Elephas maximus indicus: one gene and its partners. The protein of the gene in region 2 interacts with the protein of the main gene of each other region in a biochemical or structural test. Links are inferred from orthologs where the notes say so. Each region holds a gene or a part of one and is shown on either strand. Other genes may lie near its edges.

Evidence for each region.
Region 1: the proteins of PAFAH1B1 (region 2) and NUDC form a complex in vitro, tested with the Homo sapiens proteins (3 studies listed by BioGRID). The link is inferred for Elephas maximus indicus from reciprocal best matches to the Homo sapiens genes PAFAH1B1 and NUDC.
Region 3: the proteins of PAFAH1B1 (region 2) and DCX form a complex in vitro, tested with the Homo sapiens proteins (2 studies listed by BioGRID). The link is inferred for Elephas maximus indicus from reciprocal best matches to the Homo sapiens genes PAFAH1B1 and DCX.
Region 4: the proteins of PAFAH1B1 (region 2) and NDEL1 form a complex in vitro, tested with the Homo sapiens proteins (3 studies listed by BioGRID). The link is inferred for Elephas maximus indicus from reciprocal best matches to the Homo sapiens genes PAFAH1B1 and NDEL1.

The regions. Positions count from the first base shown.
Region 1 is NC_064821.1:67,363,189-67,370,645, forward strand, and holds the start of NUDC (nuclear migration protein nudC), read left to right. Parts: upstream 1-4,385; 5' UTR 4,386-4,496; coding exon 4,497-4,577; intron 4,578-7,457. UniProt on the Homo sapiens protein: Plays a role in neurogenesis and neuronal migration. Necessary for correct formation of mitotic spindles and chromosome separation during mitosis. Necessary for cytokinesis and cell proliferation.
Region 2 is NC_064837.1:19,204,598-19,212,030, reverse strand, and holds the start of PAFAH1B1 (platelet-activating factor acetylhydrolase IB subunit beta), read left to right. Parts: upstream 1-4,266; 5' UTR 4,267-4,645; intron 4,646-7,433. UniProt on the Homo sapiens protein: Regulatory subunit (beta subunit) of the cytosolic type I platelet-activating factor (PAF) acetylhydrolase (PAF-AH (I)), an enzyme that catalyzes the hydrolyze of the acetyl group at the sn-2 position of PAF and its analogs and participates in PAF inactivation.
Region 3 is NC_064846.1:46,102,263-46,110,387, forward strand, and holds the start of DCX (neuronal migration protein doublecortin), read left to right. Parts: upstream 1-4,996; 5' UTR 4,997-5,015; intron 5,016-6,758; 5' UTR 6,759-6,780; coding exon 6,781-7,144; intron 7,145-8,125. UniProt on the Homo sapiens protein: Microtubule-associated protein required for initial steps of neuronal dispersion and cortex lamination during cerebral cortex development. May act by competing with the putative neuronal protein kinase DCLK1 in binding to a target protein.
Region 4 is NC_064837.1:12,341,102-12,348,378, reverse strand, and holds the start of NDEL1 (nuclear distribution protein nudE-like 1), read left to right. Parts: upstream 1-4,151; 5' UTR 4,152-4,255; intron 4,256-7,277. UniProt on the Homo sapiens protein: Required for organization of the cellular microtubule array and microtubule anchoring at the centrosome. May regulate microtubule organization at least in part by targeting the microtubule severing protein KATNA1 to the centrosome.

The DNA of each region.
Region 1 (7,457 bases), on a different chromosome or scaffold from region 2:
TGAGGCATATACACCTCAGAACAATCAACTATCTGTGAGATCTAAAGGGCAGCATTTGCCCAAAAGCAAAGTTCAGAAGGAAGTAGGGGCAGGAAAGCTGGGTGGATGGACACGGAGAAGCCAGGGAGGAAGTGGGGAGAGTACTGACACATTCAGGGGTTTGCAACCGATGCCACAAGACAAGCTGTGTACAAATTGTTGAATGGGAAACTAATTCGCTCTGTAAGCTTTCACCTAAGCAACAATAAAATGTCCAAATACAAAGACAGAAAGAAAACCCTGTGGAGCACAGTTCTACTCTGACACACATGGGGTCACCATGTATTGAAATTGACTCAACAGTTTTTTTTCTTTTTTCCTTTTTCTGAAGGAAAAGTTAATGATAATATTCTCTCGTCTGTACAGTACTTTACATTTCTAAAGCACTTTCACAATTATCTCAGTTAGTCCTCACATAACAATGGGGTTAAGGTGTGACTATTCAAGCAGGAGCAACAATCATCATTCTAATAATTGTAATGACTGCCACTTATTGAGCACCTGTGCCAGGCACGGGGCTGCATATTATCTGTAAAATTAAAGAGAGACCAATGAGATAAGGTGTTTGAAAATGCTTTACAGTCCCATGACCAGGGTGCACATGTTTGCTCTTGGTGTGTACAGAGGCCTCAGACTGGTGGAGGTGCGGCTGGGAGATCTGGAGTGCAGAGGGCCTGGCTTTAGGCTTGGAACTGGGAGATAGCCAGCACTAGGCAACTTCTCATTCCTGGAACGCGTCATGCACCTTCATGCCTCAAAGATCTTGTTCATGCTGTTCCTCCTGCCTGGGATGCCTTTCCCTTGCCCAGTCTGTTTGGTAAGCTCCTGGTCACCCTTCTTGGTCTAACTCAGTGTTACTGTCCACAGCCTTCCCGCCTTTCCCTCTCCACCTCTCCAGCAGCATAAATTGCTCCATCTCTGAGTTCCCAGGTCATCTAATCCACACTCCTAATATAGCATTTAGCTCACAGTGCTTGTTATGCATTGAATTGTGTTCCCAAAAAAATGTGTCAGCTTGCCTAGGCCATGAGTCCCAGTATTGTGTGGTTGTCCACCATTTTGGAATCTGATGTGATTATCCTGTGTGTTGTATAAATCCTAACCTTTACGATGTGAATGAGGAAGCATTAGAGGCAGTTATGTTAATAAGGTAAGACAGAATCTACAGGATTATGCTGTATCTTGAGTCAATCTCTTTTGAGATATAAAACAGAGAAGCTAGCAAAGAGGAGTGAGACTTCATACCATCCAGAAAGAAGTGCCAGGAGCAGCACATGTTCTTTGGACCTGGGGTCCCTGCGCAAAGAAGCTCCTGGACCAGGGGAAGATTGATGACAAGGAACTTCTCCCAGAACTGACAGAGAGAGAAAGCCTTCCTGGGGAGCTGGAGCCCGAATTCAGACTTCTAGCCTCGTAGACTGTGAGAGAATAAATTTGTTTGTTGAAGTCATCCAATTGTGGTATTTCTGTTACAGCAGCACTAGATAATTAAGACAGTGCTGTACTTACACACTTAACTGCTGGTGGTAGTGTTCAAACATTGATATGGTCAGAGGTCATTAGAGGAGGCTGACTGGTCATCTAGACGCCATCTTGGGCAAAGTTTATCATCTAGGTGAATTCTTCTGGGTCTAAGATCAGGGCTGGTTTCTCAGGGAGGAGTCACATAAAACAGTGATGGGAATTGACTTATAAAGTCAGAATGCCAATTTAGGGAGGCAGAACTCTAAGACGAAATGGGTAAGTGTGTCGGCTCTGGGGCCAGGCTGCCTGGGTTTGGATCCTGGCTCTCCCTTCCAGATATGTGACCTTGAGCACGTGACCTCTCTGTCCCTATATCTCACCCTCTAAATGGGAATGATAAGAGCATTTACATCATAGGAGCATTGTAAGCAAAAGTCATGGACATTTAATCTATATATCAGGATTAATAAAGACTTCGCAGAGGAAGTAGCATTTGGACTGAGACCTGATGGATAATAATGAGTTGGCTGGCAAAGGCTTAGGAATCAGGACAGGACATTTTAGGAACTGAAAGAAGCCATTGAAGAGGGAGCCTGGTGAGTAAAGGTGGGCTTGGGACAAAATGAGACTGGCGAGGTAGCCAGGGCCCTGATGGTGTTGCTCCTTAGAGGTCGTGCTTGAGAGTTTGGAATTAATCCTGAATGCTATGGCTATCCACTAAAGGGCTAATTTTAAGCAAGGGAGTAACAAGATACGTTTTACATCTTAGAAGGATTGCTCTGGCTGCTGGGTGGGGGATGGATTATTAAAAGGGACAAGAAAAGTAGTAAGGGGACCAGTTAGGAAGCCACAGGAGTAGCTGTCCAAATAAGAGATGTACTGGCTTAGGCTGATGTGGCAGCAGCAGAGATGGTGAGAAGGCAACAGAATCAGGATGTATTTTGGGGAGAGACAGACAGTACTAATAAATGAGTCTAGAACTTGGCTGGAGTCTCTGAGTGACACAAATGGTTAAGTGCTCAACTACTAACCAAAAGGTTGGTGGTTCGAACCTACCCAGAGGCACCTTGGAAGAAAGGCCTGGCAATCCGCTTCAGAAAAGTCAGTCTTGAAAACCCTAGGGAGCACAATTCTACTCTGGAATACATAGGGTCACCATTTTAGTTTAGCATTGGGCTTGAGAAAATGGGTGGAGGTTTTGCCTTTGGCAAATGAGTGCTTGAATGGGGCACTTAAGTCAATGGGGAAGATTTTGGGAAGAATTAATTTGTTGTGTCTATCCAATGGCATACAACAACATGAACAAGGCCCGCTGCCGTGAAGTCAAATCCAACTCATACCAACCCTATAGCACAGACTACAACTGCCCCATAGGGTTTCCAAGGAGCGGCTGGTGGATTTGAACTGCCGGCCTTTTGCTTAGCAGTCGTAGTTATAAACCACTGCACCACCAAGGCTCCACAACAACAAAGGGGGAGTATTAATGTTGGCCATGTTAGTTCTGAGATACCTACTAACTCCAATGGAGGTGTCCAGGTGGCAGTCCAATAGACGAGCCTGGAGCTCACAAGAGGTTTGGGTCAGAGATGTCAATTTGGGCTTCATTAGCATGTAGTTGGTAATTATAACCATTGCATTCAGTGAGATCACCTAAGGAGAGAGTATAGATAAGAATAGAGGAGAGAGCAGTGGCTAGAACCTCCAATATTTACAAGTCTGCGCAGCACAAGACACTGAGAGAGTGTTAGAGAGGTGGAAAGAAAACCAGGTCCCTGTGGTGACACAGAAGCCTAAAGAAAAAAAGAATTTTCAGAAGAAAGAAGGGGTCAACTGTGTCAAATGCAGCTGAGAGGTCAAGTAAGATAATAGTGGTCCATTGACTTTGACAATGTGTAGGCCATCTGATCTTCATCAAACCTCTTAAGAACAGACTAATTAGAATAAGTTGAAGACCAATGGGAGTTGAGGAAGTAGAGAAACAAGTATAGCAAACTTCTAAAAAAGCTTTGCTGTGAATAAGAGCTAAAAAGTGGGGAGGTAACTGGATCAGAAACTCAGTGCACAGACTATTAAAAAAAAGATACTAAAGCATGTTTGTAAATTGATGGGAATGATCCAAAAGAAATTTGTGATGCAGGAGATTAAAAAAAAAAAAAAAAGGATAATTGCAGGGTTAGGATCCCTGAGAAGACTAAGATGGTGAAATTCATTGCATTAGTAGAGGGACTGGCCTTAGGTGACTGGGACCTGTCCCTCACATTAACAGGAGTCAAAGTAGACTAAAGGGCCGGTTCCATGATCACGGAGTCCGAAATGAAAAGGTAGAACCACTTATTAAAAAATCATTAAGAATTTCAAGACTGTGCCAGCAGAGCATCAAACCAAGTGCGAGGCTTTTCAGACCTGGGACCCTGTGCGGCTTTGGCTGCTCATGAAGCCAGCCTTGGTCAAGTATGTGATGATGACAGAAGTAGGCTGTCGTTTGGGCAAGTTTCTTTTTTCTGGGTCTCAATTGCCTCATGGAAGGGTTGGAAGAGATGATAAGGGCACTTTCATCTCAGCTCCACCGTTCTACAAGTAGGGAACAAGGCAAAGGACCAAAGTTTGTGCCTTTTTCACTTCCAACCCCCCCATATTTGAGCCCAAGGCTTTCTGGAAGGCTCCAAAGCATCTGGTGACCATAGCAACTCACGCCAAGCTCCCCAACTCTGGGCTCCGCCCACCACTTCTTGGATTCGCTTATTGATAGGCTCAGAAAGCCGACCAATGGTCGGCGAAGCGGGCTGCTTCATGCGCAGTCAATGGCCGAGAGAGCGGAGGAAGGCGGGAAGGGAAGGGGAGAAGGCGGGCCGGGGCGTGTGGCAAGTGCGTATTTCCTGCTCCGCTGCGGAAGGCGGAGTGGAGCCGTTGGGCCCGAGGCGACCAGGAGGAGCGTGGATCGGCGGGCGACAGTGCTGAGCGCGGATTTCTTAGCGCGGAAAGGGACAGGCGCGATGGGAGGGGAGCAGGAAGAGGAGCGGTTCGACGGCATGCTGCTGGCCATGGCGCAGCAGCACGAGGGCGGCGTGCAGGAGGTAACCGCCCGCGCGGCGTCGGCCCGGCCTGGTCCGGCGGTGCTGGCCCATTCAGGCGGCCCTAGCCACGCTCTCTCAGCCCTTCTCTGCCCTCGAGGCCCGAGAGCTTCCTCCGGGCCTCACTCGCTTCCGGGACCCCCACCCTCCGACATTCCCACCGCTCTTGAGCTTCCGGTCTGGCCTCCCAGCCAGCGTGTCCCACTCCTCGGGTGTCAATCCCGGCCCCATGGCGCCCTTCAGTAACTTCTAACAAAGTAAACGTGGCATTCCTGACCCGACCCTTTCAGATTCTTCCCCCAGAGCCTTGGTATATGCCCTTGGTCTTACACATGCTTCCAGCCCCGGTACCCCATAGGTGGCTGCTTCCAGAGAGCATCCCTTACGACGAGCCATGCCAGACTCTCATTTGCATCTACCACAACTTGTAGTGAGTCGATGAGTGTGTGCGGGGTGTGTGTGGAGCGATGATGTTAGCACGTGGTTTTTCAGGGTGTGAATGGGGGAGTAGGAGGCTTGTTCTCGCAGTTGATTTCCACTACCTGGGAAGCTTGGGACCGTCCCACCTTTCCAAGCCGCATTTTTCTTATCTCTTAAAATGGAGCTGCAAATCCCTGTTTTCCTGAATCGTTGTAGGAGAGTGGTATCTTGAAGAGCAGTGAGGAGTTATAAATAATCAGGCTTGTTCATTCAGCCAGTGTTTGGTGAATAACGTCTGTCAGACACTCACTGGAGCCCTGGTGGCACAGTGCTTAAAAGCTCAGCTGCTAACCAAAAGGTCAGCAGTTCGTATCTACCAGCTGCTTCTTGGAAACCCTATGGGGGCAGTTCTACTCTGTCCTGTAGGGTCACGATGGGTCTGAATCCACTCTGTGAATGAGTTTTTTTTTTTTTTTTTAAGACACTTTTTTTGGACTCATTGGGCTGGGTCCCGGGGATACGGAGGTGAGCAGAAACTTGTCCTTGCCCTGAAAGAGCTTACAAAGAGCTTTTTTAAAAAGCATAAAGCATGCTGAGCGACCCCGCAATAATAACATGTAGTCTGTGAATGGTAAGGATCAACTAGTGTAGATTCTTGAGTTGGTTTTTTGAAGCAGAAATCTGGAAAGTTAGAGGTAGAACAGTTGTTAAAATCAGTCCAAAGCTTCATTTTATAAATAAAGAAATGGAGACCCAGTGACTCCTGACCTCCGCGAGACCAGACTCCGTAGGCCGTTGTACTTTCCACAGTCCTTTTGCTGATTTTCTTCCTCAGTGGGGACAAGTTTTCATTGACCTATCCATTTCCATTCTTTCACTCAGGTGCCTGTTGTGACCAAGGGCTCCCAAGCCCTTTGAGGTGTGGGGGGTGTTACTAATTTGCAAGTGTGAAAAGGCTCCCCCTCCCCCTGTTCCCCTAAATTGTTGACACAATACCAGGTTTGAGAGAGTTCATTTTTGAGAGAATTGATAACATGTCTACCACCCACCCACTGCCCTCAAGTATGAGTATGAGATAACATGTCTAGAAGTTTCAGTTCCCTATTGAAATTATTGAGGTAAATTCTAGCATCAGATTTAGAACCCTTGGGCGAGTAAAATGGCTTGAATGTGCTAACTCTAGATCACCATTAGATCTGTTCATTCAACAAATATTTTACTGAGCATATACTCTGAGCCTGATATGGTGCCAGACATTGGGGATGTAGACAGGCTAAGTTAGTCGTTCCTGCTGTTAGGGGTTCATCCTTTAGCAGTGGGTCTGTTGTGCTGTGCCATTTACTGCTAAGGGCCTTACCTTCATTACCTCATTTATTCCTCACAAGGTGCCCAGAAATGGGTCCTGCTGCTATTCCTGTTTTACAGAGTTAAGAAACTTCCCCAAGGTCACACAGCTGATAAGTATCAGTCTGAAACTAAAACCCACGTGTCTTAGTCATCTAGTGCTGCTATGACAGAAATATCACACCAGGGTGGCTTTAACAAAGAGAAGTTTATTCTCTCACAGTCCAGTAGGCTAGAAGTCTGAATTCAGGGCACCAGCTCCAGGGGAAGGGTTTCTCTCTCTTTCGGCTCTGGACGAAGGTCCTTGTCATCAGCCTTCCCTTGGCCAGGGGCATCTCAGCACAGGAACCTCAGGTCCAAAGGATGCGCACTGCTCCTGGCACTGCATTCTTGGTGGTATGAGGTCGCCCTGTCTCTCTGCTTGCTTCTCTCTTTTATATCTCAAAAGAGATTGGCTTAAGACACTGTTTAATCTTGTAGACCTTGTCAGTATAACTACCACAAATACATCTTATTACATCATAGTGATAGAATTTACAACGTAGAAATCACATCAGAAGATAAAATGATAGACAATCATACAACCATATAAGGGAATCATGACCTAGCCAAGTCGACAGATATTTTTGGGGGGACATAATTCAATCCATGACACCATGCTCTTAATCACCTGGCTACACTGGTAACCCAACCAGAGTCAGCTGGTCTTGACCTTCTTTTAAGTGGTTTCATTTGCGCCCCCCCGTGCCCCCCCCCCCCCCCCCCCGCCCCAGTTCTGCCCTGGTAGTTTAGCCAGCACTACTGATGGGTTTTTTTTTATTTTTCTGGAGAGGAAGGTTGGGCCCAGACATTTTAAGCTCTGGATACAGAGAACTGAATGTTTCACATCCTCAGGCTACATGTAAACACACACAAGAAGTGAGACCTCCCAGATGGTCCAAAGTTAGAGTAAGCTTCCTGGTGGGAGTGACTAAGGGAACTGGAGGAGGGAGATGTCTCAGTTGAGAGGCTCCAAGGTGAGAGAGTTAAGTCCCAAGCTCCCTCCTAGACTAAGGAAGTTGGCTTCTATTTAGTTGAGAGCCTCCCAATATGGCGTCTCCATAGCTTTAGTTTTCTCTC
Region 2 (7,433 bases):
CTTTAAATTGTTTCTATGGCCTCCCAATGTTCATGACACATGAGGATGGCATGATGCTGACATGAAGAATGACTGGTCCAGTTGGACCTGCTCTCATTGACATGTCCATGCTTTGGGGAAATACAGGTAAACTAATTAGGTAGAATCTCCTAGAGTCAGTTTCTTTTAATATGTCCTTTGCCAGTTGGGTCCTGAGACTTCAAATGAGACTTCAATTCACACAACTTGTATGCCTGAAAGCTATCTTCTTACATATGCTAATTGCTTCCTATCAAATATGCACATACAGCTATGTACATCTGCCTGTAAACTACATGTCATTATTGTTGTTAGGCTGCAACTCATAGCAACCCTATGTACAACAGAATGAAATGCTGAGGGTTCTGTGCCATTCTCACAACAATTGCGATGTTTGAGCCCATTTTTGCAGCCACTGTGTCAATCCATCTTGTTGAGGGTCTTCCTCTTTTTCATTGAACCCTCTTTTTTGCTGACCTTCCATTTTACCAAGCACGATGTCCTTCTCCAGGGACCAGTACCTCCTAATAATATGTCCAAAGAGAGTCAGTCTTGCCATTCTCACTTCTAAGGAGCATTCTGGCTGTACTTCTTCCAAAGCAGATTTGTTTATTCTTTCGGGAGTCCATGGTGTATTCAATTCAATATCCTTCACCAACACTATAGTTCAAATGCGTTGACTCTTTTTCAGTCTTCCTTATTCATCGTCCAGCTTTCGCATGCAAACGAGCCAATTGAAAATACCATGGCTTGGGTCAGGTACACCTTAGTCCTCAAAGTGACACCTTTGCTTTCTAACACTCTAAAGAGGTCTTTTGCAGCAGATTTGCCCAATGCAATATGTTGTTTCATTTCTTTTTTTATTGTGCTTTAAGTGAAAGTTTACAAATCTAGTCAGTCTCTCATAAAAAAATTTATATACACCTTGCTATATACTCCTAATTGCTCTCCCCCTAATGAGACAGCACACTCCTTCCCTCCAGTCTCTCTTTTTGTGTCTGTTCTGCCAGCTTCTGACGCCCTCTGCCCTCTCATCTCCCCTCCAGATGGGAGATGCCAACATAGTCTCATGTGTCTACTTGATCCAAGAAGCTCATTTTTCACCAGTATCATTTTCTATCCCATTGTCCAGTCCAATCCCTGTCTGAAGAGTTGGCTTTGGGAATGGTTCCTGTCTTGGGCTAACAGAAGGTCTGGGGACCATAATTACCGGGGTCCTTCTAGTCTTAGTCAGACCATTAAGTCTGGTCTTTTTATGAGAATCTGGGGTCTGCATCCCGCTGCTCTTCTGCTCCCTCAGCGGTTCTCTGTTGTGTTACCTGTCAGGGCAGTCATCCGGTTGTAGCCAGGCACCATCTAGTTCTTCTGGTCTCAGGCTGATGTAGTCTCTGGTTTATGTGGCCCTTTCTGTCTCTTGGGCTCATAATTACCCTGTCTTTGGTGTTCTTCATTCTCCTTTGCTCCAGGTGGGTTGAGACCAATTGATGCATCTTAGATGGCCACTTGCTAACGTTTAAGACCCCCGCTGTTTGATTTCTTGACTACTGCTTCTATGGGCATAAACTACATACCCAATGCCACATAGGGCAGTTTAATTAAAACAATGTTTTAACATTTGTGCTCATTGTAAACAGATTTTTTTTTTTTTTTTGCTCCGGAGACTTTTAAAAGACATTTTTGTCCTCTCTCCAATAGTAATATTTTTGGAGTTTCTTCCAGTCAGCTTATTTGCAGAATTGTTTAAACTGATTTTACTGCGGCAATTGGAATGAATGTTTCCATTTTGAAAATGTCTGCTGGAAAAAAATAAAGATTTGAAATTCAAATGAAGGGGGAGATCATTAGACTGTGGTAAGTAAAATGGATGTTTATACTTAATTTTTTTTCAAGAAACATCATCTAAAATAACCATTATTAAATGCTTCCTGGATGGATATAGTAGGTTCTGTGTAAGTCTTTATGGATTTTGATTGATAGCATAGATGTCCTAATTCTCCATTCTCAGTAGACAAGTGTTTATTAAGATGGATCTATCATCTTAGCAACTGAATAAAAAAAACTGCATAGAACCATAATACAGCTCTGCATATCAAGTTAAGCACATAATCCAGTTTTATTTCTGTTCAGAAAAATCGCAATCCAGGGAGAAAGTTTTTATACTTTCTTCCAAAATGAGTTTATTGTTTTTTTAATGATTGCTATGGAAATAAAATCTGATCTCAGTTTATTGCATAATTACATAATACAAATTTTAAAGTTTCCTATATACACAAGTCTATGAGCAGATTTGGCAAATCTGCTGCAAAAGAGCTCTTTAAAGTGTTAAAAAGTAAAGATGTCACTTTGAAGACAACGGTGCACCTGACCCAAGCCATGGCATTTTCAATCGCCTCATACACATGTGAAAGCTGGACAATGAATAAGGAAGACCAAAGAAGAATTGATGTATTTGGATTACGGTGTTGGCGAAGAATATTGAATATACCAGGGACTGCCAGAAGAACAAACAAATCTGTCTTGAAAGAAGTACAGCCAGAATGCTCCTTAGAAGCAAGGATGACGAGACTGTATCTCACATACTTTGGACATGTTGTCAGGAGGGATCTGTCCCTGGAGAAAGACATCGTGCCTGGTAGAGGGTCAGTGAAAAAGAGGAAGGCCCTCAAGAGGTAGACTGACACAGTGGCTGCAACGGTGGGCTCATATACAGCAACAATTTGTGAGGCTGATGCAGGACAGGGCAATGTTTTGTTTTTTTGTATACAGGGTCGCTTTGAGTTGGAACAGACTTGACAGAACCTAAAAGCGTAAGCGCAAGGCTTATATGGGTTAGAACTATATGTATTAAATCAGTGTTTGTCAATGTGATGCTGAATTCTTTCTGGGCAATTTTGCTAATTTTTCAGAGCATTCGTTGTTCAACACCTCCAAGAATAGAGACTTACAACCTCTCTTGATAAAAGGAAACTTGTTATGGTATCAACAGCGACAGTACTGGTTAAACGAGTTACCACAGAGACCCCATTAAGGTGGGATACTTTATACACACAGCATCTCCTCTCTAATTCTCACTGGATTCTTACAAGTTAGTTACTAGGCTTATTTTATAGATAGAGAAACCAAAGTCAAAGAGAGGTATAGTAATTTACCCAAGGTCACACTCTAGGTAAGTGGCTGATCCAGGATTCACACCCAAGTTGTCTCTCTGCCATTAACCCTGTCGCCTCTCAAAAGCAGTACCTGTGTATTATTTACCAACATAAAAGGCAACTACAAAGGGAAGTAATAAATTCAATAAACATAAGCATAACCCTATGTTTTAGGGAGTTCCCTTGGATATTACAAATTAATGATGAGATAATCACACTAGATGCCTCTCATTTAGAAAATATCCCATGACTGAGAAACTCCAAACTTTGTCTCTTTTAATTTTTAAATTAAGTGTTTCTGTGTGGAATAAATTGACTACAAATCCCCAAGACTTTTTTGTCGTCAATATTTCACCTCACAATTTAGCAAACACACACACACGATGAAGTTCCAGGTCTTTCTTTGGGCTTCCACCAGTTTCAAGACTTTGAGAAGTCTCTGAAGTGTCTGTGTGACTAAGGAAAAGAATAGCTGAATCACATCTAAAAGCGAATTCTCGCAATTAGAAGTCTGTAAAAACAATGAAGACAATTAGGCATCCATCTGCCTTTTAACCTTAACACCTCTTCCTCCGTAGCCAACCCAGTCTCACTCCCCCCCGCCTTTCTTTTTTTTTCCTAATTGGGAAATAGGCCCGGAGGCAGGAGGTAGAAGGACCGGCAGCTTAGGCCCGGGTTTCCTTAATCCCGAGTCTATCGGAGCCGGGAATCCTCGGATGCTGTTGGCCGGCAGAAGCAGCAAGAGCGCCGGATGCGGGCAAAAACAAGGCGGGGAGGTGAGCAAAACCAGAATTTGTGAGGGGCCAGAACAGTCAGAGGAGGGTTTAGGAAAAGGGAGCCAGGAGCCTTTTTCCAAGGTTACGGTGGCGTGAGGAGGAGGGAAGGAGCGCCCGGTAGGCAAACTCGTCCACCAGACCCTGGGCGCCGCCAAGCCGCATCCGCCACAGCCACCAGCGTCCGCTAAGCGTAAGGCGGCGCCGCTCAGGGCCCGGCCATAGTCGAGCCTGGCGCATGCGCCGCAGCCCCTCCTCCGCTCCCGGCCCCCTCCCCTCCCTCTTCCCGGCGGGTCTGGGGCGGCGGCGGCGGCGCGGTGACGTCAGGGCGTTGGGGCAGCTCCTGTGACAGACGGAGCTGGAGCGGCGGGGCGGCGGCGGACTCCGGCGGCCGAGATAGCGAGGGAGCGAGCGAACGAGCAGCGACCCGGGGTCTAGGAGCGAGAGAGAGAAGGAGGGGAACGCTCGGGCGCGAGCGAGAGAAACCGCGAGCGCCGGACTTGCGCTCGAGCCCCGGAACGGCAGCGGAGCCCGTCCGCTCCCCTCCCCTCCCCCTCCCCGGGACCGGGCCCAGCGCGCCATCCTCCCCCTCCCTCCTTCCCTCCCTCCCTCCTTCCTCCCTTCCCTCTCCCTCCCCCCTCCCCTGCCGGTGGATGGGAGTGAAGGACGGAAGAGGCCCTGCGGAGGCGGCGGTGCAGCGCTCCGGTAAGGCGGCGAGGGTCTGCGCCCTCCTCTCTGTCTTCTCTACCACGCTCGGGCTGCTGCGGGCCGGGCCCGGCGGCCTGACGATGTGGCTGCGCCGGTCCCCTCCCTCCCATTCTCCCCTCCCCCTGCCGCCGCCTCCTCCTTCTTCTTCTCTCCTCGCTCTCAAAATGGCGGCCGCGACGGCCGTTGAGTGAGAGACACGGGAGGAGGGGGGACAGGCCGGGAAGGGCGCTGGCCTCGCTGCCCTGTTCTCCTGCCCGGGTTCGGGGGTGCCGGGGCCGCCGGGACTCCGCCCGCAGCCCTTCCCGAGAAAAGATCGTCCTCCTCCCCTGGTGACTTAGCAAGAAAAGTATTCTGGGCTAGGAAGGGCGTGGGGAGCAGGTCGCTTTCTGATCTTGGGAAGAAGGTTCGGCTCTTCCCTCCCCGGCCGCGGAAGGCGAGCGCCGCAGTCCCCACCCCATCCGCGGTCGGCGGCTCGGGGACCAGGCTCAGCCCCGCGCCGCCTTGGCGGCCACAGGGCCTTTCAGGCGTTCCGTCCCCCACCTGTCCTTAGGATGGGGTTGACCTGAGGAGGGTGGGCCGCCCCCTTCCTGGTCCCCTCTGCGGTGGTCCACCCTCGGCCCCCACTGAGGGGGAGCGACCCGACCCAGCGACCCATCCGCAGTATCTGTCCACGGCCGGGCAGGATTTTCCTCCTGCCACCGGCTCCTCAAGCGGGAGCTGCCCTTTGACGTTCTGACACTGAGCTTCAAGGCCCTCATCCGTTCCCCTTCATCTAATCTCCCTACACCTTTAGGAAACGCAGTACCCGTATACCTCCTCTAGCCTCCCAGGTGAGAAAAAATGCCTTTGAGGTGGTAGGCAGATTTTAACTCTTAACTACCTCTCTAAACATGAACGTAGAGAGGAGGTTTTCTGTATCGAGATAGGAGAGCGCTAGGTGCCTCGGCTTTATTTCTTATTTTGCCTTTTTTTTTTTTTCAGTGACTTAGCAAGAAACTCCTTGGAAGGAGAGTAGGAAATTGTCTTTTGAGGCTGGGGTTTGCCTCCAATTTATACCAACCCTTTGGTTAAGAAATTGTGCTTTTGAAGAGAAGGACCAGATTTGTGGTCTCCTTCTCAATGGGCGATGTCATGCCAAGCCCTCCCCCTCTCCCTTTTCCTTACGAGGCAATTGGAAGAGAATAAAGATATTGTTATTCTGATCTCTACTTTAGGTACACAATCCCCGAGATTCATAGTGTTTTAAAGATTAAGCAAAAAAAAAAAAAAGCCATTTTATAATACTATTTCTGTTGGAGGGTGAATTGTTTTGTGTGAATTTCATTTTGAGGCTAGGGTGGAGGAGATAGTGCTTGGGCCTTTCATACCAGTGAGGATGTCATCCCTTCCCTTTTGCTACAGTAGTGTTTGCTTAGATTTTTTTTTTTTTTGCTGCAGCAGGGCTTGATTGCTGCAGGGTCCAATCCCTTATCAGGAAAATTTCCTGCTTGGTTATGGTGATAGTGCTATAATGTTGGCTATATATATAAAAAGCTTTTACTTAGCCTTTATTGAAAAAAAATTCCGGTTTGGTTCTAAGGCTTTAGCTAGCCTTTAATCCCTAATTGGTGTCATTTAGGACAGTTTTGCAAAATAATTGTTAGTTGCAAATTGCAGTTTTTATTAAAGCAGAAGAGTAATCTGTAGAGTGATATATTTTTTCATGTCCTATTATAAATGATCATTGTTTGGATTGTTCAGAAAGGGAGGGGATCTCCTAAAACAGATTTGAAGGTTGGTATGTATTTTTTTGAATCAGAGTAAGGAACTCAATTTTTCACGTAAAATATTTCTGCACATGTTGATTTTGATGGAGCAGGCTCTAGTTTGGTGCTGCCCCCACCTCCTTTTAAAAAAAATTGGCTAATATTTATGGATGCTGTGAACAGCCATTGAGAGGAGAAGACTGGGTGGAGTAAGAGAGCAAAAGCTGTGAAATGCTAGCTTGCCCTTTCAATAGCATTTTTCTCTTGCTTATGTTATTTCATGCTAATTCGTGCTACAACAAAGGCGTTTCTCTGTAGTAAGTCTTAAAATCCTCTTGTTTTAAATTTCCCCCTTTTTTGCAAGGGTGGGTGTTGAATGATTTGGGTACAAAGCAGTGTCCCAGCTCTAAAGCAGACACTTATTTTCTGGCTATATATATACACTCTTGTTAATTTTATTGTTTAAGTCAACTAAGTGTAAATTAATGCCAGAAATACTTGGATACAAATAATAATAGAAATATTTTGAAAATCTAATAAGGATGCTACAGATGTTTTCTTTTACTTTAGTTTGTGTTGAAACAGTAAATATTTGTGATTTTTAAATAATGAGCATCAAAGATGAGAAAAAAGGATAAGAAAATTTGCATTAAAAGTCGTTTATTTAAACCTTTTTTCTTGGGTGGCCTTGAAAGGGGCCTTTTTGTAAGGTACTAGCATGAGAGGGTAGGTCACTTTAACGTCTTGTGTCAAGCACTCACGTGAAAGGACATCTTCAAAAGAATTTCAAATTCATGTGATAAATGTGACTTTGATGAGCATTTATGAATGTCAATATTCTTACATTTTTTTACATTTTCATAGTTTTTTAATGTGATTAAAAAGTGGAAGGGCTCATATATGGCGAAGAATGAGAGAGGTTAGAAATGATAGTTCACTGTATTATGTATCTGACATATTCCTATCACTGCTGTCTGTAGCTATAAAAGTGTACCTAAAAGTATGATTTTTCAGTAGATTATTACTTGATCAGGAGCTTA
Region 3 (8,125 bases), on a different chromosome or scaffold from region 2:
TATTCTCTGCTTTCAGCCAGGATCCATCTGACATCAGAAATGATATCCCTGGTTCCACGTCCTCTTCTGAATCTGGGCTGAATTTCTGGCAGTTCCCTGTGGATATACTGCCACAGATGCTTTTGAATGAACTTCAGCAAAATTTTAATTGTGTGTAATATTAATGATATTGTTTGATAATTTCCACATTTGGTTGGATCACCTATCTTGAGACTAGGCATAAATACGAAATACTTAGAATAGGGGAATGCATGGAGCTAAAAGGGGCTGGGGGGAAAGGGAAATGGAAATTATTACTTAAGGGGTACTGAGGTTCTGTTTAGGGGGGTGAAAACATTTAAAAATAGTGGCGATGGTTGTACAATATGGTGAATGTAATTAATGTCACCAAATTGTCCACTTAAAAATAGTTAAAATGGCAAATGTTTTGTAATATATTACCAGAAAAATTTTTAAAATTTGGGAAAAAAAGTTCATCCCTTTTGTTGCAGAATAGTATTCCATTGTATGGATATACCACAATATGTTTACCCATTCATCTCTTGATAGACATTTGGCTTTTTCCCAGTTTTTGGCTTTTACAAATGAAGCTATGATGAACATTAAAAAACAAAGACACTCTCTTCCATTTTACTGTTAAAATTTTTAAGGTTCTGTTTTTTACATTCAGGTCTTTAAAACATCTGAAATTGATCTTTGTGTATTTAATATGCAAATTTTGTGTATTTAATAAATATACATATACATGTAGTTTACAAAAAAGTTTACAGAGGGCACAAAATTATAAGGTACTAAGAATAAATCCAAAAAATGTGTGTAAGACCTTTATTGAAAAAATCAGAAAACTATATTGGAGAACATATTAAGCAGTGAATAAATGTAGGAATCTAATTTAATTTTTTTGATTTTGAAAACCCTCATTGTACCAATCCCATATATTGAATACTGCATGCTTTCCTTATTCTAGTCAATTCAACAAATGATCCAACGAGCACCTATTATATACCAGACATTGTCCTAGGCACTTAGAATACAGCATTATAAGACAAATTAAAATATTCCTGTGGGTGAATTATATGGTAAAAGAATTACATGTCATTAAAGCTGTTAAAATATACCTGCCCTCATATAACTTATATTCTACTTTGGGGAGATAGATAATAAATAGGTATATTATATAATATGTTGGGAGATGACAAGTGTTAGAGAAAGGATAGAGCAAAGGAAATTGTGAGTGATGGATTTTTGGGGGGCAGGTTGTAACTTCTAATAGAGTGGTTTGGGTTGGTTTCATTGAGAAGTTGACATTTGAGCAAAGCCTTGAAAGAAAAGGAGTTAGTCATGTGAAAATCTGGAGGATAATAAAAACTAATACTTACATCATATACACTATGTGCCATGGTCTGTTCTAAACATTTTACATGTAATAATTCATTCAATACAACTGATACAGGTACTTTTATCATCACCCCCATGTGACAGGAAACTGAGGTACAGGGAGGTTAAGTAACTCACCTAAGGTTACAAGCTGATAACTAGTAGAGTCAGAATTTAACCCAAGCAGTCTGGATCCAGAATCTGTGTTCTCACTACTACACTATTATTTGCCAAGGTCCCATTTAGGCTGATATCTCTTTCTAGGATCTCTTTTGTTCCATTGATCTTTGTCCCCGAGGCTAACACCACATTGTCTTCATTACTATAGCTTTATAATAAATTTGGGTAGGCCAAAGCTCCCCTTGCAATTCTTCTTTTTCATCATTGTCTTAGGTATTTTAGAGCTTTATGTTCTTCCATAAATGTTTTAGAATCAGTTTTTCAGGTTTCACAAAAATTTCTGTTAGAGTTTTTACTGGAAATTCTTCATACATATAGTTTCATTTGGGTAGGATTGATACCCTTACAATATTGCATCTCGATGTCAATGAGCATGGTCTGGCCCTACATTTATTCACTGCTTATTATGTTCTCCTATACAGTTTCCTTATTTTCTCAATCAAGGTCTTAGACATATTTTTTGGATTTATTCTTGTCCTTTATAGTTTTGTGTCCTCTATAAACAACATATATATGTATATTTATTTTTTTCCAAGCTCACTTCCTGTTTACCCCACTCCACCACAGATCCTGCTTTCTGTGCTTCTGGTAAGTGCCATAAACTAATGATTACTTCCTTGTTTGATGGATGGTCTTTTTTCCTTACCTGTTCTTTAAGCTGAGTTCGGTTAACCCAGATTGTAGTATATCAAGAAAAATCTAAGCCCTTCTTCTTCATGATTTTTGCAAGATGCATGTTCTTGCCCCTTTTTCCTCGATGAGTCTTTTAGCCCCTCAGGGGCAGTGATGGATATCTCATACTCTGCACTCACTGTGCCTGTATTACTGGGCACATGGTAATTGCTCAAAGGGACTTATTGCTAAATTACTCACAATAGGATTACTGGGCTTTTCCTTCAATCTCTTCATTCTATTGAGCCTGCTTCTGTGACTATCCCTTGATCTTCAACAGTGACTTCCATATTTAAAGATGCAGTTTCCCACTTATGCCTGAGATCTTCTATTCTGCCTGTAGCCCTTCTCCTCTGAGAAAGTGAGGAAGAAGATGTTGGTGAATAACTTAGAATTCTTTGAAAAGAAATGTCTTTATTTATGAGATGATCTAGTCAAGATTTTGTAAAAGCTTTTCTACAGAGTATTAGCCTATGGGATGCTCAGGGCTGGGGTAAAGGACCTATGATTTAGAAAAAAAAAAGTGGGAAGCCCTTTATACTAAATTGTCTTCTTGGAGACATGTATCATATTATAAGTATATTAAAGGCTCTGAGAAGTCTTGTGATAAAGAGAATTGTTTAACTTTGTTTAGCCCATCTTTTCTTAAAAGTTTTCTTAAAGGTTTTTGACCAAGTAAAGTTTTCACTTTACTTAGATCCACAATCAACACCCATGGAAGAAGCAGTCAAGAAATCAAAAGACACATAGTACTGGGCAAATCTGCTGCAAAAGGCTTCTTTAAAGTGTTAAAAAAGAAAGATGTCACCTTGAAGCCTAAGGTGAACCTGACTCAAGCCATGGTGTTTTCAATCGCCTCATATGCATGCAAAAGCTGGACGATGAATAAGGAAGACTGAAGAAGAATTGATGCCTTTGAATGGCATTGGTGAAGAGTTTTGAATATACCATGGCCTTCCAAAAGAACAAACTAATCTGTCTTGGAAGATGTACAGCCAGGATGCTCCTTAGAAGCAAAGATGGAGAGACTACGTCTCACATATTTGGACATGTTATTAGGAGGGATCAGTCCCTGCAGAAGAACACACTTGGCAAAGTAGAGGGTCATCGAAAAAGAGGAAGACCTTGGATAAGATGGATTGACACAGTGGCTGCAACAATGGGCTCAAGCCTAACAAGGATTGTAAGGATGGCGCAGAACCGGGCAGCGTTTCGTTCTGTTGTACATAGAGTCACTATGAGTCATAATGGGCTTGATGGCACCTAACAACAACACACTGATATGTAAGAAAAAAGAAGTTTTGAGACATTAGTCTCACTGGGCGATGAAATTGCAACTGCTAGTCTACCACTGTTTGGAATTTTACACATTTCCCTGCTGCTATTCCTTGATATTTCTCTGCCTCTGATCAGAATAACCCTGATTTATGAAGAGGTCGCCACAATGTAAGGTAGAAACACATGGAAGGGAACAAATTAGACAGATGCACTCCTTTGATGCACTTATTTAGGAACCAGGAGAGCAGTAGAAAGGTGTTGGGAGGACTTGACTGGGCATTTGAGGTTTTACTAACATATATAGCTTAGGCTTTGCTGAACCCACACTTTCCAGAGAAGGAAGACACTAATATTTTTATTTCACTTTGAGACAACTTACAGTAAGACACATGTGCAGAAATTACTTAAATATGAAGAAAGCAACAGCTAAAAAAAAATATAAAAGGGAGGGCTAATTATACTAGGAATCAGATATAAAAAATTAAGGAACAAGCTATTAGCGCTGAGCTTCCTGGAAGCCAGGTAAAAATGGAATCATGACTGTTACATATTAATTAGTTCAAGACTGTTACATATTAATTCATGTAGCCTCAATTGTAAAGATGGAATGGAGCCCACTCGCCCTTTACTTTCTCACCTTTCTCTTCTTTTTCCTGTAGTTTGGTCTGATCCAATGAGTTCAGTTTTGATGCTTCCTTGCTCTTAATAACATACTTGATAAAGAAGACAATTAGTGGCAAATAGTTTGAGGAGAGATCTATTAATGTTTTTTTTTATGCCATCAAACCTTCTTTACATAGAAAGGTCTCTGAGTTGGATTTGAACTGCCAAACTAGAGGTAAAGGCCATAGATACCATTAACCAAATTCTTACACCCAGCTGAAAGATCTTTGGAGCCCTTTTCAACCTCATTCTCCATGAAAATTTGGAACTATTTTCCACTTGTCTTACACCTTTCCCGCTCCCTCTTAGTATACTCTACTACCTCCATTTACAAAATAACCAGTTGTTGGATGAATGAGCTAAAATGTCTTAAAGAATTTGCAAATTTGATTGTTTTCTCTCAAGGGAGTGGTAGGAAGAGAGCTACAATCTTAGAATCCAGCTTTGGCTGTCTGAATCTGGCCCCCAGGCTGATTAGGCCAAGGATTTGGCCAAGTGAATTTTTCAATTCTCTAAAAGAAAGAGCTAGCACATTGCTCATTAGAGCATTCTGAACTTGCCTGTGCAATCTTTTTGCTACCCTGCAATTTCCTCTTGGTTATAAATGAAACCTTTCTAGCTGTTAATGCAGCTTGTGATTTGAAAAAAAAAGCCTGTAATTAATCATAGGAGGTTGGGGGGATTCACTAAGCCTGAGTTACATGGGAGAAGCTGGACAAGGCACTAGGACCTAGAAGGCATCTATCCACCCTGGCAGGAATTTCTTGCTTGGAGCTCAGACAACAAAGGCATAGAGAGATTGGTTTTCTTTCTCTCAGCATCTCCACCCAACCAGCAGAAAACCGGTGAGTGGGGCTTTCGAGTGATTTTCAGGCAGAATGTAACAGATGTCAAACGGGAAAAGCACAAGGCAAAGCTAGTTGTCTCTCTGTATGTGTGTCTTTCTCTCTCTCCTTTTTTTCTTTATTCAGTTGGATTTTGTCCTAAATCTCTACCTGGGATTTTCCTTTGGAAAAGTGAGTTTGACATTTCTTTGTTTTCAATGTAATGTTGATTTAAAATAATACCACCCCTGATTCTAAAGCAAAGCAAAGCAGAACGGAACTGGCATGTCTGGGGAAATGCTTGCTACTCGTCTTGAGGAGGTGGGGTCTTTTACCACTGCAGGTTGTCTGACAGAGACAATGCTGAGCTCAGCACAGGTCATGGTGACATTGGAAGAAAAGAGGGACTGAGCCTGGCAAACCTACTAGGCACCAGTCCCTCTTTATCTTCTATCCTCCTGGTTCCCTTGCAAGTATCTCCATGTGGCAGTGTGTAGCAGCTGAGCCCTGGTTGCTTTGTGAGTCCTTTTATCCCCATCTGTGAGATGCATGTTCATAGTTTGGTTCCTAGGTTGTCACTACATTTGCTGGCATTTGGGGGCTTTGATTGTATTTGGTTTCATATTTTGATTTTTTTTTTTTTTTTTTTTGGTTCAGCAGTAAAGGAAAAAGCAAAGCCTGACAAATGACCATCTTCTGCCTCAGTTAACACACCTGGGCAATAGATAAGTTTGGGGTGAATTGCCTGCTGTGAGGGCAAAATGCCTCTTCAGTCGGGGTAGAAACACAGAACAATGAAAGGTGTGCTTGCTTCTAAAGGTCTCATATGTCATTCAGGGACTCATTTGGGAGTCTTTCAACAATTAAATTATTCTATTAAGAGGCGTGGATGCAGCGCTAGGGAGGGGATGGGGCACCTAAAAAAAAGAAAAGGATTTTGTGACCAAATGGTACCAAGGGGAAAGCAGAGCTAATAACTCATTAAATAACTGATTTTTCTAATCCTTTTTTTTTTTTTTTTCTCAGCGTATTTCTATGAATGTCTGATAGCTGCACCAGCTTGGTAGGGAAAGGGTTTGATGAATAGCACAAAGAGGCTGGCTATTCCCTGGAGGCTGTCCCTTTAAACAAGAATCCTAGTTTATTCTGGGGGGAGGGGATGCACACATTAGAGTAGGAAAGAGGGTTTGGAATAAAATTAAAGCGCTCCTCTTCATAGTCATTGTCCTGAGATGCAGAGACTGCTTCCTAAGCTAGAGATGCTAACCTTGGCTAGTTCCTTCTGTTGTCTTCAAGGGGAATTTTGTCAGGCTATGAATTCATTTACAACTGTTAGTCATGTGGGCATGTGTGAGGAAACAGATGCCAGTTTTAATGCATTTAGCCTGAAGTTACAATTTGATAGGAGCCACTGTCAGTAAGTCCCAGGGTTTTAAGCTATTCCAAAATCCCTCCTCCCCTCTGCTTGGAATAGTGCCAAACGTGCCTCCCTCCCTATCTCTTACCCCCAACCCCCACAACTACCAGCACCCCCAGCCTCTCCCAGCCCCTCCTTCTTCTCTATTCAGATCAATATTCCTGCAGGTCAGTGGCAAGCAGCAGATGGGTCACGGGCTTTTTCAACCAGGTCTTTTCACAGGCAGCAGGTTGCGGATCTGGATCTGGCTAATATTTAAAATCCCTCCCCCCTCCTTTTTTCCTTACCCCTTTTTCTTTGCCTCTCTTTACCCACCCCCCACCCCAACCCCTTTCTCCAACACTCAGGTCTCTGAGGTTCCACCAAAATATGGAACTTGATTTTGGACACTTTGACGAAAGAGATAAGGCATCCAGGAACATGCGAGGCTCACGGATGAATGGGCTGCCCAGCCCCACTCACAGCGCCCACTGTAGCTTCTACCGAACCAGAACCTTGCAGGCACTGAGCAATGAGAAGAAAGCCAAGAAGGTACGTTTCTACCGCAATGGGGACCGCTACTTCAAGGGGATTGTGTACGCTGTATCCTCTGACCGTTTTCGCAGCTTCGACGCCTTGCTGGCTGACCTGACTAGATCTCTGTCCGACAACATCAACCTGCCTCAGGGAGTACGTTACATATACACCATTGATGGATCCAGGAAGATCGGAAGCATGGATGAACTGGAGGAAGGTAATTCAAGGAGTGGGTGGTTGTCCTTAGTGGGAGGTGGCACAATGATTAAGGTTCTATTTTTTTAATTTCATGGAAAGAAATTAGGAAGTATATTTGTCAAGACACCAGGTTGATGCTCAGACTTCTCATTCTACACGCCACTAGCAACCACTCTCTACGGCCTTCAGTTTCTGCCAGCTGGGGTTGAGGTGTTGGTGCTGGTGATAATGTATTGTGCTTCTCTGCTGTGGTATATAAAGAAAAATCTGAATTGTGGTGTTTACTCTAGATCTTGTTCATAATTACCCTGTGTAGCATTATTGAGGCAGACCATATAATCATTACGGGTGTAACAAAGAGGGAAGGTTGGTTGAGTTAACAGAGAGAAGGTTTTATACCCAAGTTTCCTGTGAACTGCTAAGAGACTATTTGGTGAATTGCAACTCATTGGAAATATGTACCCTAAAAGCAGGACTTCCTGGACATATTCACAGAGGATTATACTTTTAGGTAAGTGGTCACTGCTCAGCTGTTGCTTCTAAAAAGCCCACTCCAGGGTGTGTCCCTTAGGCTGAGGTCATTGAGAGAAATACCAAAGAAAGCTGTAGGTATGTCTGGTATTTTAATGAAGACCATTCCTATTAGAATAGGAACTGACTCACTGTACCCAAATCCCTTTAAGTCTGCTCTAGATTTTGGTTTTTTAACTATATTTTCTGGCAAGATTGCTGAAAATCCAGACAACCTGTGAACCTACTGGAAAATAGGGAAAATCCAACCTCTTACCAAAACTGCTCAGCTGTAAAGTCTCCTTTGTGATCATTTAGAAAATAAATCTTGGAACGCATCCTTAATATTCTACTTTAGCAAACCAATTTTATTGAGGGTGCTTTCCTACTTCCACTTTTAAATTGGTAAGTATAACATATGGGATCATTTTAACCTGACACAATGCTTTAAAAGACAGCAACAATAATAAAAATGTTCCCCTGGTTCCCT
Region 4 (7,277 bases), about 6.9 Mb from region 2:
AATTAGGTGGGCAGGCTGGTGGGATGTAAGTCAAAGGGCATAAGATTGTGAGGCCGTTCTTAAGAAGATTTCATCTTAGCCTAAAAACCAAATCCATTGCTGTCTAGTTGATTCTGACTCATAGCGACCCTATACTACAGGACAGAGTGGAACTGCCCCATAGGCCTTCCAAAGCAATAATCTTTACAGAAACAGACTGCCACATCTTTCTCCTGTGGAGCCACTTGTGGATTCAAACTGCTGACCTTTCAGTTAGCAGTCAGGTGCTTAACCACTCTGCCACCAGGGCTCAGTTTCCATCTTGGCCAAACATCCAAAATGTATGTAAAACTGCTACAACTTAACAACAAAAAGACAAGCAACCCAATAAAAAAATGGGCAAAGAACTTGAACAGGCAGTTCACTAAAGAGGATATTCAAAAGATCAACCCCCACAAAAAACCCATTGCCGTCAAGTCAATTCCGACTCATAGTGACCCTACAGGACAGAGTAGAACTGCCCCGTAGGGTTTCCAAAGAGCACCTGGTGGATTCAAACTGCTGACCTTTTGGTTAGCAGCCGTAGCTCTTAACCACTATGCCACCAGGGTTTCTAAATGATCAACAAGCACATGAAAAGATGCTCGACATCATTAGCCACTAGGGAAATGCAAATCAAAACCATAATGGATTTCATCTCACCCTCATTAGAAAAAAAAAAAGGAAAACAAGAAGTGTTGACAAGGTTGTGGAGAAACTGGAACCCTCATCTATTGTTGGTGGGAATGTAAAATTGTGCAACCACTGTGAAAAAACAGTTTGGTGGTTCCTCAAAAAGCTGAGCGTAGAATTACCACGTAACCCAGCAATCCCAGTCCTAAGTATGTATCCAGAAGAAGTGAAGGCAGGAATGCAAACAAAAACCTGCACACCAGTGTTCATCGTAACACTTTTCGCAGTTACCAAAAGGTGGAAACAACAGAAAGGGACATCAACAGGTGAATGGATAAGCAAAATGTGATAGTATACGTACAAAGGACTATTACGCAGCCGTAAAGAGAGAGGAAGTTCTGACGTATGCCACAACATGGATGAACCTTTGAAAATGTTATCCTGAACCAAATAAGTCAGCTGCAAAAGGACAAATTGTACCTAATCTCATTTATATGAAATAAGCAGATATCTAGAAACCAAAGATTATTAATGGTTACTAAGGGGAAAGAGGGAGTTTTTGTTTTGGGGGCTGTTATGGGTTGAGTTGTGTCCCTCAAAATATATGCTGTAAATTCTAATCCGTATGCTTGTGGCAAAGAATATTGAATATACCATGGACTGCCAAAAGAGTGAACATATCTGTCCTGGAAGAAGTACAATCAGAACGCTCCTTAGAAGCAAGGATCTCACATACTTTGGACATGTTATCAGGAGGGAACAGTCCCTGCAGAAGGGCATCATGCTTGGTAACGTAGTGGGTCAGCGAAATAGAGGAAGACCTCCAATGAGATGGATTGACACAGTGGTTGCGATAATGGACTCAAGCATAACAACGATTGTGAAGATAACACAGGACCAGGCAGTGTTTTGTTCTGTTGTACACAGGGTCGCTATGAGTCCAAACTGACTGGACAGCAACTAACAACAACAACATACTTGTGGATATAGTTCCATTTGGGAATGAGTTTTCTTTGTTATGTTAAGGAGAAAGTATTAGTATAGGATGTGTCTTAATTCAATGTCCTGAGATATGAAAGAGCAGATTGAGCAAGCAACTAGGCAGGCAAGCACAGATGGAGGAAGACAGACGCCATGCCATATGAGATCTCCAAGAAGCAAAGAAAGAGAAACTGAAAAATGACAAGGATCTTTCCACTGAGCCGACACAGAGGGAAAGCCTTCCCCTGGAGCTGGTGACCTGAACTTGGACTGCTAGCTTCCTTAACTGCGAGAAAGCAGATTTCTGTTTAAAGTCATCCACTTGGGGTGTTTCTGTTGTAGCAGTGCTAGATAACTAAGACAGGGGGCAATGAATTTATGTTAATGATGGTGGAATGTTTTGGATGAGGATAGCGATAACGGTGGCAGAACATGAAAAATGTAATCAGTGTCACCGAGTTGCAAATGTGGAAGTTGTTGTTTTGGTGGACATTTTGGGGTGTATGTTTTCACCACAATTTTTAAAAAAAAAAAGAGAGAGAGAGAGAAGAGGGTGCCATCCTAGCTATCAGAATGTCCATAGTCTAAGAAGAGGGTCAGGAAGGTGAGGACAGAGAACCAGGAGGATAGGTCTCCTATCAGCAGGTGGCTAACCTCAGGGCTGCTTTCAAGGGAGATGTAAGGATGCTATGGAGTCCCTGGGTGGTGCAAATAGGTAATGCACTGGGCTGCTAACCAAAAGTTTGGAGGTTTGAGCCCATCCAGAAATACCTCAGAAGAAAGACTGGACAATCTTCTTCCTAAAAATCTGCCATTGAAAACCTTATGGAGTACAGTTCTCCTTGGGGACACATGGGGTTGCCATGAGTAGGAATCTACTCAAGGGAAACTGGGTAAGGATGCTGCAGGCTCAGCAAGCTTCCTTCTAGAGATGTGTGGGATGGGTGGGAGCAGGACTTCCAGGCAGATAGAGCTGTGGCTTTTAGCACACTCCCGCATTCCACATCCCTGTGGGTATTAGGGAATTTTCAGAGCAGCTGAGAACAACTAAGGGTTCTCTGGCCCTGGCACTGCCCTCATGCAAAGCATTTGCACAGCGTGCAAAACATCAGCCCCACGGCTGTGGCTTCCGCAGCTGAGTTTACCTGCGTGCTTTGTTTCCTTACTATCTCTGAAGTCCACGGATATTTATGGACTAACTTCCGGTGCTCTGCTGGAGGCTCCTGGGGACACAGAGGGAAACCTGTGCAGTCCCTACCCTCACAGAGTGATCTTGGGGAGAAAAAAACATCATCATGGCAAAGTAATGATTAATGAAGGACCTCGGTAGCAGCTCTTAACAATGGTGCTTCTTCTCTAAAGCTAAACCCACTGCCATTGAGTCAATTCTGACTCACAGAGACACTATAGGACAGAGCAGAACTGCTCCATAGGGTTTCCAAGGCTGTAAATCTTTGCAGAAACAGACTGCCACATCTTTCTCCTATGGACCTGGTGGTGGGTTCAAACCGAAGACCTTTTGGTTAGGAACCGAGTGCTTTAATCACTATGCTACCAGGATGAGACTCATTAACAGATGAAACCTACAGTTTTTGGAGAGGTGAGAAGTGTTAGGTGACTTCAGGCTAAAGTTTTCTGATCTGGTAAAGACTTAAAAGTGGGTCGAATTTGGAAAGGCAGGGGACAACCACTAACAGCTAAAAGGGACTAATTGGATCTGTACCAAGCCAATTACACACATTTTCTCATTTAAGTCCTACAACAATGCTAAGAGGTATCATCTGGTATTATCTCCATTTTATAGACGGGGAAAATGAGACTCAGGGATGACAAGCAGCTTGCTCTTGGTCTCACAACTAAAAGCGGCAGGTCAAGTCTATCTGACTTGAAGTTCATGCTGTTATGTACCACATCATGTACTATGCCTAGTTCTGAGCTGGGCCCCCTTGGGGATAAAAACAAGGGTGATGTCTGCTTATCAATTACCCTCAATAAGCTTTTTTTCTTCCCCTTGCCTGCACCCTCCAAATACAGGGACAGAAGCAGGAAAGTGGGGGTGGGATGGGGAGAGGACAGAACATTTGTCTAGAAGAGCAGTGGGCTACATGCCTGCAGTGGAAACAGGGGACCTTGAAGGCCTGGCTAAGAAGTTCACACACACACCAGTTGCCATTGAGTCAATCTGAACTCATGGCGACCCCATATGTGTCAGAGTAGAGATACCTCCACAGAGTTATCAACAGCTGATTTTTTGGGAATAGATTCATGCGCCTCTGGGGGGACTTGAACCTCCAACCTTTCTGTTAGCAGCTGAGTGTGTTAACCGTTTGCACCACCCAAGGACACCGGCTAAGGAGTTAGGGCTTTTTTTTTTTTCCTCCCCAAACACTGAAGACTTGCTCAACCTCAGCTGAGCAATAAGTCTGACAGGGTTGCCTCGCTTCTAGATGGCAGGGTGGCCCCAGTCTTCCTGGTCGTAACCCACTTCCTGTTCTTGCGCCTCTTTTGTCAGATGGTGATCTTCACCCTTCCTGTTGACTGCTACTTTGTTTTATCTGGTCCAGGGTGGGCCCCTGTGTGCTGCCGTCGATGCAATCAGCGGACACCTGGGACACAGAACCAGGTACACTGGGATGATGGGGAGTGGGAGGTCTCATTGGAGAAGTTCTGGGCCAGGTGAAGGCCAGCCTAAGAGACACCAGGGAAGGAGGCTCCTGGTGGTCTGAGGACCCCCTCTGCTTTTGTGGGGGTGGGATGGTCGAAGGCTGAGGTTAGTTTTTGCCCTGCGATGTTAGTTATGTCCTCGTGGGGGTGAAACAAGGGGTTTGCTTTGGTGGCATTCTGAAACCACCTGGTCTGCCCACATCTCCCAAAGATTCGGATCCCCTTGCTTTGGTTTTCTGTTTCCTGGACCGGCCAGGTAGTGCTTTTCTGGATTGCAGAGGGAGCTCCGTGTGTTGAGACAGGTTTATCTGGTGCTGACTGGACACCTTCAGTGTGACGCACTGAAATAGAACTGAGCTGACCACATTAGGGGCTTCTCCACTGAGCCTGGTTTCTCCTCTACAAAATGGCAAAATGTCCCTATTTTCTGTGATACCGAAGTGGGGCAATGATTGTGAAAGTGTTTCATGAACTTTAGGATTGTATTCTTCAGGGTTTGGGGTTACTTTTATTTTCTAAATGGAACTAGGTGTATTTTTTCCTGGTAATATATGACAGCTGGAAAAAATCAAACAATGCAGAGAAAATGAAAATCGTCACATAATCCCATCCCCAGAGATTGCTGCTATTAATACATTGGTGCATAGACTTCTACACTTTTAGAACTAGTTTTTTTTTTTTTTATGTCTAAGTTTACTTACTGTCCTGAAACCTTTTTCCACTTAATAATATCTCTTGAATATCATCTCATGTTAATTCATGGGCATTTACCTTGTCCTTCTTAACAGCTGTGTTTTGTTCCATTGTGTGGCTGTACCATGGATTATTAAATCAGTCTGCTATCTATTGATGGGTATTTAATCATTTCAACTTGTTGCTATAATAATAAACAATGCTGTAGTGAATTGTTAGTTGTCGTCAAGTCTGCACTGACTCACGGAGACATTACAAGTAACAGAATGAAATGCTGCCCGGTCCCGCGCCATCTTTACGAATGTTGGTATGATTGTTACGGGTATTGTGTCAATCCATCTGACTGAGGGTTTTCTGTTTTCACTGACCATCTGCTTTACTTTATATCTTTGCACTAGTTCCATTATTTCCTTAGAATAAATTCTTAGAACTTGAATTGCTGGATGAAAGGTTATATGTTCATTTATAGTTTTGATTCATTTGTCTGGATTCCCCTAGGAAAAGTCATACTATTTTATTATTTAAAATTTAGTATCTACTTTTATTAAAGCAACACAAAGCTTTCAATGAAAAATAGCTATTCCTTGCCCTATCTCCCCTCTTCAACGTTCTCCCTACCAGAGAGAAACACTTTCAATTCTTACAGTTACTTCTATTTCCAGGTGAGTTGCCTATATGGCTATTTTTTTATTTTAGTCATTATCTTTCATTAATAATTTATTGACTTCTTATTATGAAACCTATGAATGTAGCACTCTTACTCCACCCTATCTCCACATTATTGCTTCTCTATCCTTCTAATATATTTATATCACAAATTTTGGTTAAATCGATATTCACATTTACATTATGTATGTTGTTATGACTATGTAAAAGTTATCTTCTGAGTTATATAGTATATTATTATTGTTTCCTTTCTTTGACAACTCTTTGTTTTCCCTGGAGTTGATAATTGCCTCAGTTTTTCATTTGCTTAGTCTTTACATATGTATATATCACTGATGGCTCTCAATATGATCAGATCTATCAGTTTCTATATTTTTTCCTTTTTTAAAAAATTCCTTACAGACACCTTCCTGAAGCCTCATGCTATTGCTCTAATCTGAATTGGTTGTTCTCTAGGCCTACTGCATAGTGTTGTCCTGGGAAATCCCTTAGCATCGTCCTAGAATCTTCTGCGCTCTGCATCCTACATTTTCCTCTTCATTTACTACCTCATTTTGGTGTCACACATCTTCCAATACATAGGAGGTAATTTTTTTCAGATTCTGACTGAAAAAAATGCCTTTATTCTATTAAGAGTCTAGCTAAGGTTTAGAATACTGAGTTGGAAATAAATTTTCTCTCAGAATTTTAAAGGCAATGCTCCATTGTCTTTAAGCTTCTAGTCTATTTTTGAGAAGTCTGTTCTGATTCCTAATCCTTCATATGTGGCCTGGATTTTATCTCAATGGTGGTTTTTAGGATTTTCTCTTCATTTCTGGGGCTCTGGAATTTTATCAGGGCGTACTTTGCGTGTGTGTTTTGTCATTCATTGTGCTGGACACTTGGGAGACCTTTTCAATATAGATACTCATGTCATTCAATTCTGGGAAAAGTTCTTGGTTATTAGTATTTAAAAAATAATTTCTTCCCCTTTATTGTCTCTGTTCTGTTTTTCTGGAACTCCTGTCATTTGACTGTGGGACTTTTGGGCTTACCCTCTCATTTTTCTTATTGTGCTTTAGGTGAAAGTTTACAACTCCAGTTAATTTCTCATACAAAAATTTATATGTGTATTGCTATGTGACATCAGTTGCAATCCCTATAATGTGACAGCATGCTCCCCCTTTCCATCCTGGGTTTCTTGTGTCTATTCAACGAGTTCCTGTCCCTTCCTGCCTTCTCATCCTGCCTCTGGACAGGACCTGCTTATTTGGTCTCATGTATCTGCTTGAACTAAGAAACAAACTCTTCACAAGTATTATTTTATGTTTTAATTTCTCTCAGAATTTTAAAAGCAATGCTCCATTGTCTTTGTGAGTTTCTAGTTTATTTTTGAGAAGTCTATTCTGATTCCTAATCCTTTGTATATGGCCTGGTTTTATCTCTATGGAAGTTTTTAGGATTTTCTCTTTACCTCTGGGGTTCTGGAGTTTCTCCAGGATGTGCTTTCTGGACTGGGACAGGGGTAATTGCCTTTGCTTGCCGATTATTTTGGCTGTAAAGTAAGTCCCTATCTGCTTTGTAAACACATCTGACTTTCAACTGAGCTTCCTGTTTTTAGCCCCACCCCACCCTGCCTTCTG